Linked DNA regions of Danio rerio. Each later gene encodes a partner of the first gene's protein in a complex. Links are inferred from orthologs where the notes say so. Each region holds a gene or a part of one and is shown in the gene's direction. Other genes may lie near its edges.

The links. The genes of interacting proteins can lie anywhere in the genome.
Region 2: the proteins of ptar1 (region 1) and rabggtb are in contact, whole or in part, in a crystal structure (PDB 6O60), measured with the Homo sapiens proteins. The link is inferred for Danio rerio from reciprocal best matches to the Homo sapiens genes PTAR1 and RABGGTB. Residues at the interface, in NP_001093136.1 of Homo sapiens: Val61, Lys62, Leu65, Pro66, His69, Leu73, Arg76, Leu97, Asn98, Asp100, Phe101, Thr102, Thr103, Asn106, Lys109, Glu110, Leu113, Ile141, Arg144, Trp145, Pro192, Ser193, Tyr195, Ser199, Ile202, Trp203, Gln206, Val231, Ser232, His234; in NP_004573.2 of Homo sapiens: Lys6, Asp36, Tyr37, Cys40, Met41, Glu43, Tyr44, Ile89, Gly90, His91, Asp92, Asp136, Trp138, Glu140, Phe177, Asp178, Gly182, Cys183, Arg184, Pro185, Gly186, Ser187, Glu188, Ser189, His190, Gln193, Trp217, Glu221, Arg222, Pro225.

What each region holds. Positions count from the first base shown.
Region 1 is NC_133180.1:56,713,397-56,717,774, forward strand, and holds the start of ptar1 (protein prenyltransferase alpha subunit repeat-containing protein 1), read left to right. Parts: upstream 1-1,527; 5' UTR 1,528-1,546; coding exon 1,547-1,632; intron 1,633-2,895; coding exon 2,896-3,065; intron 3,066-3,206; coding exon 3,207-3,273; intron 3,274-4,378.
Region 2 is NC_133177.1:29,805,141-29,809,210, reverse strand, and holds the start of rabggtb (geranylgeranyl transferase type-2 subunit beta), read left to right. Parts: upstream 1-1,199; 5' UTR 1,200-1,257; coding exon 1,258-1,260; intron 1,261-1,499; coding exon 1,500-1,607; intron 1,608-1,690; coding exon 1,691-1,888; intron 1,889-1,994; coding exon 1,995-2,100; intron 2,101-2,931; coding exon 2,932-2,984; intron 2,985-3,089; coding exon 3,090-3,200; intron 3,201-4,070. UniProt on the Homo sapiens protein: Catalyzes the transfer of a geranylgeranyl moiety from geranylgeranyl diphosphate to both cysteines of Rab proteins with the C-terminal sequence -XXCC, -XCXC and -CCXX, such as RAB1A, RAB3A, RAB5A and RAB7A.

The sequences.
Region 1 (4,378 bases):
GCTTAATGAGGAACTGTAAACAAGTCTTAACAGTTAATGAATATACACATTACATAGATTTTATTTTATTTTTTTCAGTGAAATACAGGTCTGTGAATTGCTTATTGTTTTGTAAATAAATCATAAAATAATTCTCAATCAGATTAGCCTACATCTGTGTTGCTTTACTCTGACTACAACAATGAATTAGAAACAAAATTAATGATGAATAAACATAACCTGTATTTTTTTTTTTTTTTTACTTTTATTTAGAAAAGAAGAAATGTACAATGTAAATTAGGAAGTGATCTGTAAGAGAAAGGTACAACTTACAGTTACAAGGTGATAAGAACAATAAGTATCCAAATAAGAAATAAAAAAATAAAAAAAGAGAACAAAATAAAGAACGGGGAAGTACAAAATTGAATAAAAACAGAAAGCAACCGAGACTAACTTACTGGAAGCCTTACATATTCATAAGTTTCCATTAACTTGCAGAATTTTTGTTGTTAGAAAAATGCATAGCTTTAAGCAAGGAATCAATTTCAATTAAAAAATTAGCAAATGAGGTAGAGGATTTAAGATGTTTTTGTTTGTAAATAAAGAATTTCATATATATATAAAAAAGTAAAAAAAAAAAAAAAGTAAAAAAATTATTATTATTATTACTATTATTATTATTATTATTAGCCCCCATTAGAATTTGTGTTTTTTTTTTTTATATTTTCCAAATTATGTTTAACAGAGCAAGGAAATTTTCACAGTATTTTTTTTTTTTTTTTACATTTTAAGGTCAAAATCATTAGCCCCTTTAAGCTATATATTATTTTTCTGATAGTCTACAGAACAAACCATTGTCATACAATAACTTGCCTGATTACCCTAGCCTGCCTAGTTAACCTAATTAACCTAGTTAAACCTAAATGTCAATTTAAGCTGCATAGAAGTGTGTTAAAAAATATCTAGTAAAATATTATGTACTGTCATCATGGCAAATATGAACGAAATCAGTTATTATGGATTAGTTTTTAAAACTATTATGTTTAGAAATGTGTTGAAAAAAATCTCTCCGTTAAACAGAAATTGGGGAAAACAGGGGGGCTAATAATTCTGATATTCCTCATTTTTATTTTTGAGACTAGAATAATAACATTTAATTTATTTCAATTTGAAGCGTTGTTTTGTTTATTGTGGTTTATTATTTATGTAGAATATGAGATTTTACATGTGTGTCACAGTTTCCTCAGTTTCCCGACAGAAAGAACAAGTATCTGCAATATCAGTAAATATTTGAGGTAAATGCATTGACCGGTTAACGTGTTATTAAAATTTTCAAATTGATTTCCTTTGCTTTGTTTAGGATTGCATATTTATATAGGAGATTATCCAACTAATATCTTGTATTAACGCTGTCCAACATGGTTTTCACATTTGAAGCGATTTGATTTTTTTTGTTGAAATCCTGTATTTTCCCTTAAACGCGTTATGGTCAGGTTATGGTACGGTTACTGTGAAATGTCCCGGATGAGGTTGAGTCACCCGCGCTGACGTCACTCGAGCTCTGAAAATGGCTGAGTCGGAAGAGGAGGTGGATGTCTTGGTCCAGAGAGTTGTGAAAGATATCACTAACGCCTTTAAAAGAAACCCGAACATGTACGTATATGAACTCGCATTGTTATTCATTGCGCAGTGTTCTAGTTTAGTCTAAACAGCTCGTCCAGACCCTCGCTGTAAGTCGCCGGGAGAACATAGAGCAGCAGCCGTCTGTCTGTAACTTGCGCAGGCATTGGCTCTGGCTAACTGGCTATTAACCAGCTCTAACCCGCTGGCGCTTGGCGCAGGCCAGCAGCAGACTGTAGACCAGAGCTCTTCAGCACTGCATTTACACCGTGCCTGGAGAAACTTGTGTTGTTTAACATCTCCGTGCGAACGCCAAAAGTTTTTCTCACCGAAACGTCAAAGTATGTGCATGTTTGTCATGCTGTAGCTAGTACTGTCAGTGTTATTCTCTGGTTAAGTTAGTAATTAGATAATCGTTCACCTTATATATTTATTTGCATAATCTCAAGAATTGTCCATGTTTACGTACTGGTGACGTTATATGGAGTGATTTAATATGTTGTTGCAACATCTTGCATCTTAATGTACCCAGACAAATCACTTAAGTCAACATCTAACGTTACAACGAGCATTATCGGGAAACTGATACACAGGTTTGTGGATATTAATGTAACCACCAATTTTATTTCTCATATCAGAGCTGTCCAGTTATGACTTCTGATTTGCCGCACAAATTAAAAATGAAATTAAGAAAATTTTATTCTTGTTTTAGATTAGATATGCCCTTTTGCTTTTGAAATGAAAGGTATATGAGCAAATACGAAATATAGTTTTCATAAAATCATTTACCACATAATTTAGGTTTTGTAATGAAGCTAAGCATGTGTTGTTTATTTGTTTATTTTGACAACTTCACTTTTTTAGCATAAATGTGAACACTTTCAAAGGTACCTGATTTAATGCAAGTGTTCATGTATGACTTTTAAAGATCTGACTTTTGATTCAGACTCCACAATTCTATACACACATTTTCATAGTAGATTATTTCAAATGTTAATCCATACTGTCTGGCATGTTTCTAGTCCACTACAAAAAATTTTTTAGGATGTTCTGTTTTCAATTGTAGTTGTTAATTTTGTCTTCGTTTTGTCTGTTTGTTTCATATTAAAAGGTCAGTGTCTTGTGCCAATGGTTTAATTACTTCCTTCTCTTATGGCACCCTTGTATTTATGCCAGAGAGGTGCATCTAAAGCGACTATGTGTCAGCTGAGATGTTATGCATCCCTGTTTGCCATCAGCTCCTTAGTATTTAGTATATCCAAAAATAGCCAGCATCTTTTTATCTTGAATTCACAGTGATGAAATTGGCCTCATTCCGTGTCCTGAAGCCCGGTACAACAGAAGCCCCATCGTCCTGGTGGAGAATAAGCTGGGAGTGGAGAGCTGGTGTGTCAAGTTTCTGCTGCCTTATGTGCATAATAAACTCCTGCTCTACAGGCAGAGAAAGCAGTGGCTCGACCGGGAAGGTAGGATGAAAGATTATTGGGTTAGCTTGCTTTTTTGAACACCTTGCATGGTATAGCATTTATTAGTATGGTATTTTATTAAATACTTTGCATCATTGGAGAAAAAAAAATCCCTGATATTTCTTTCTTCTTCTTTTCAAGCTCTGGTGGATATAACCAGCACATTGCTTCTGTTGAATCCAGATTTTACCACTGCGTGGAATGTCAGGTACAGTTCCATGGTTTCCTCTACATTCATTCTTCCATGGTGGGGCGTCATGACAAAATTCATCCCGCCACGGCTACAGTACAGCTTCTCATTCAAAACATTAAATTTTTTTAATAGCGGGTAATAATCGCATCAACACGTATTAAAAGATGACTGATTTATAAGAGTGCAAACTTCTCTGTAACCGTAGTAATGCTGTGCATTATTTGTTTACCCCGTTAAGGTTACGTGTTGACAGACAGACTGACTGACTGACTGACTGACAGGTGCATGGTGAGGCCAGCAAACACGACGTATAGCCATTTCATTTTACTTGAGAACGCATTAATATCGCTCTGTAGGTCTATTAGAGACATTCATAAATATTCGTAGCAAATCTAATAAATGCTGGAGACATACTCGTTACATAAACACACTCAATCGCACCACAGCAGCGTTTATTTGAGATCGCACAAGAGGTTTTGTGCACGAGCAGAGGAAATCGGCGCGCAAGCAAAGAGATCTGCATGCTGTAGGCTATTACATAAATGCAATCTCGACCTGTAATACTGCACTCACGACATTTGTCATTGAAAAAAACATCACTGGTATTTGGTATACCTGTAAAAAAAAAAGGCCTGCCGCCACAGCTGGAAAAAATCCTAGAGGAAACACATTGTCCATTATATCTACATGTGCTTTCTAATGCATGCACATCTATGGTATTTTTAGAAATTCTCCTTCTTTCTTTCTTTTATGTCAGCATTTCATCACTCTATCTTTCTTGTTGGTGCTTTTATTAGATGTATTGTCTAATTTTAGAAAAAGGAAAACCAAAAAGGATACTATTCTGCTAATGCTACTTTATTTTCATAATTTTACATAAGGAATATTAGTTTTTTTTTTATCAAATTTACCTGCATGCAGTAAACTGTTAGCCAGACATTTCTATTTTTTTTACATCTACCACAAACTGTAATCATCTTCATACAAGAAACCTAAATTCTAAGATAAAAAAAAATGCATCTGTTTAGCTTTTTGTACAAGGACATAGTTTATATACTGCTCAAAATAAAGGGAACACTTAAACAACTCAATGTAACTCCAGGTCAACCACACTTCTGTT
Region 2 (4,070 bases), on another chromosome or scaffold:
CAGATTGTAAATTGCCTACAGAGAGATCCGGTTGCCTTGTCATATCAGCTTGCCTTGCCATATTTATGTTTGTTGAACAACTAAGTTGATCAAATGTTAAGCTGAACAAAGTAACATAGTTACACCGTTCTTCCTCAGATTCCTTTTGTAACAAATGACGTCCTTTTGAAAGTAAAAATAAATAACCTGCCTGAAATTCTGTCTTGGTTGAAATTCTGTAGCCCCTTTTTGTATTAGTTTAAAAAAAAATGCAAATTATGTTGTGTATTTTTTCCAAATATTTTGCTATAAAATATTGTTTTGGGAAACTTTTTTATTTAGACATATTTAAGATTTGAATACTAGCTATGTTTTTGGAGCAGGGAATTTCAAATTGGGCTCAAAACACAATAGACACATTTAATAGACTCACTGATATGAAAGAAAGAAAAACATAAAACTGGATTAAAATCCAACAATTTTAAATATAAATCAAGTATTTGATTTTAATATAATTCACCCCCAAAAAATCAATTCTGTCATTTATTCAACATTGACTTTTTCCCAACCTTTTTTTGTTCTGTTGAACAAAAAAAAAGATATACTGAAGAAAAGCACCTGGAGGAAACCCACGTTAACATGAGGAGAACACGCAAACTCCACATAGAAACGCCAACTGACTCAACCGAGACTCGACCCAGTGACAACCTTGCTGTGTGGCAATCATGCTACCCACTGCATCACCGCATCGCCTGATATCCATAGTATGGAAAACTAATTCTATGAAATTCAATGGTAACAGGTTTTCAACATTCTTCTTCTTTTTGTGTTTAACAAAACCAGTCTAACGGGCTTGGAACAAGTAAAGATGAGTAAAGTACTGTCATTTTGGTGTGAATTATTTATTAAAAAGGAATGACAAACAGATTATTCCAAGGTAACTATTGTATTAAATTTGTGTGAATAAATAAATAAATGTACTATTAGTGAAATGCATGCAATAATGCCTTAAATAATATTTTGGACCAAACATAACTAGTTTTCCACAATATAATCTTTATATCCACAATATGATATTTCTTCAAGAAATTATACATTTTGTCATGCTTTGTGTCAGACGTCAACAAATAAACGCTTGTACCATCGGTGTACTACCGTCCCAGTTAAATGCGTTGTGTACCTTACGGGCCCCCGTAGAAATGACGAGCGTGTGATGATGTAATATATGTGTGACGGCTGAAGTCAGCCTGTAGTCCGGTCTCTTGTTTCTCCTGCAGAATGGTACGTAAACACAATACTGTTTTGTAAACGTTTAATTGTTTAATTAATAGAAATAGCATTCGGTTATCTGCGATAATACAGAAAAGAGCTTCGCACATTAAAATGAGAATAAAGAAAGCAGCATAAAGCTGTCATGTCACCGCCCAGTCACTTCAGCAGTTTACTAGTCTGGACTAAAACAAATGGTTTATTTTTCGAGCTTAATGTCTAAAACTGATTGCAGCTACGTTGTTTTACAGGGGACCCAGGTGAAAGACGTGACCATTAAGCCTGATGCTCCTAACACTCTCTTCCTAGACAAGCATGCAGACTATATTGCAGCTTATGGTTCAAAGAAGGATGATTATGTAAGTTAATGGCTTAAAAAATAAATATATAAATAATAATAATAATATGTATTGCTGATTAATTCCCAATTATTTTGCTCTAGGAGTACACACTGTCAGAGTATCTGAGAATGAGTGGCATCTACTGGGGTCTTACCGTGATGGACCTGATGGGTCAACTGTCCCGAATGAACCGAGAGGAGATTATAGAGTTCATCAAATCCTGCCAGCACGACTGCGGAGGCATCAGCGCAAGCATCGGTCATGACCCTCATCTCCTTTACACTTTAAGTGCTATACAGGTGAGTGGGAAAACTGCTAAACCCGAAGGACAACCAACAATCATATTTGATAAATGACTGTAGAAAATCCATCCATTGAAAATAAAACATGTTTTTTTCTCTTTAGATTCTGTCCTTGTATGATAGTGTTAATGCCATTGATGTGGATAAAGTGGTGGAATATGTTAAAGGACTGCAGCAAGAGGATGGCTCGTTTGCAGGGGACAAATGGGGTATTTAAATAGTTTTTTAATCAGTCTTTGTGTGAAAAAAAAAGTTATAATTTTAGTAAGGCTGCAAAATATATTATTTCAACATCGTTATGTGCAAATGTGAAAGTCACATTGCAGAATATATGTTTTACTGACAATTCTAGCTTACCCAATTCACCTGTACCCTGTCTTTGGACTTGTGGGGGAAACTGGAGCATCCGGAGGAAACCCACGCAAACACAGGGAGAACATGCAAACTCCACACAGAAGTGCCAACTGACCCAAGCAGCCGGCAACTTTGTTGCTGTGAAGCAGTTGTGCTACCCATTATGCCATTGTGCTGCACCTTCTTTAAACATATTTTTAAAAATGGTGATTTATGTTTTAATATGGAAATTATTCATAAAATTACTTTGCCTTTTCAGTAATATTTATTTTTATATGTATTGTAATAAAAAAAGGAGTTGCATCATAAAATGTCTTTTCTGTACCGTATAAAGTACAATTTTTACAAAGGTACAAAACTGTTCCTCAAGGAACATTATTTATACCAACGTGCACCTTTTTTCTGAGAGTGTAGACTCTCCAGAAAATCATAAATCAGTTTATTTCATTTGTATCTTTGTTTTATTTGAGTAATTTATGCTTTGAATTTGTTTATTATTTTTAATGCAGATTCACTCCCCTACAAAATCATTACAATCAATGTAAAATTATGAGTTCTTTTCTTATAGAGTTATCTTGTTAACTTCTATTTATATCGCAGAACTTCAAAATATTGCAAAGCCAGTTTTATTTCAATGTCATGCCCTAATTATTAGTGATTTTTTTTCCTTTTCTATTCTTTAATAGGTGAAATAGATACACGTTTTTCCTTTTGTGCAGTTGCAACTTTAGCACTACTGGTATGAATTACTTTATTTCCAAATATTTCATCTCAATACCTTTTAATAATGTTTCTTGGAATCTTTCTAGATTTTATGCTTCTAACAAGACAAATTTCTGTGTAGGGCAAACTGGATGTGATCAACGTAGACAAGGCCGTAGAGTTTGTGATGTCCTGTATGAACTTTGACGGTGGGTTTGGTTGCAGGCCTGGTTCAGAGTCTCATGCTGGTCAGGTGAGATATTTGAGCTGTGTTGTGCCCTTATTTGGTATATTTGGGATGCCCTGCAGTGCCAGAAATAAACCTTTCTATTAAGTAGCGATGTTTGTCAGCATGAATTATTTTAAAGATAATTTTGTTAACCGTATATAGGCAATTAAAAAAAAAATTACATGTTAATTATCTGATTTCATGTTTTTATAGCTTTTTAATAAAGCACTTTAATACACTTGAATGAAACCAAGTACTTCAAATAACTTGTTAATCTGTTACCAATAAAAACAAAAGGTTTTAGAAAGGGAAGTTAAATTATACATGTAAAAGAAGTAAATACAGAATGTGCAGTATTATGACCAAAAGCTTTATTGTTGATTATTGAAATGATGGTTATTAATAGTGAATATTATAATGCATAAAAAAACATTTTTGTTTTTAGGAAGAAAGCATTTTAAATTCTGTCTATAGACAAAACCTGTTGGTCTATGTAATGAATCTAGCATAGAATAGTTTTAAATTTATTTATGTTTTAAAAAAACCACAACAACATTATTATAACAAAGATATAACTAATTCCTTACTTAGATTACTTGCTGGAAGGGCATCCGCTGCATAAAAAATGTGCAGGATAAGTTAGCGGTTCATTCCACTGGGGCAACCCTGGATTAATAAAGGGACTATGCTGAAAAGAAAATGAATGAATGATTGCTTTAAAACATTAATTACAACGTTAACATTTAAAACATTACCCACAATATTAAACATTATTTACAAAATACTTTAAAAAACAAAACTTTTCAGCTGTTTCTAGTCTAACACCATTGATTGACTAATACATTCTTAAGCTTAACAGAAGCATGTGTGGAATACTCAACACTGCAAAAAAAT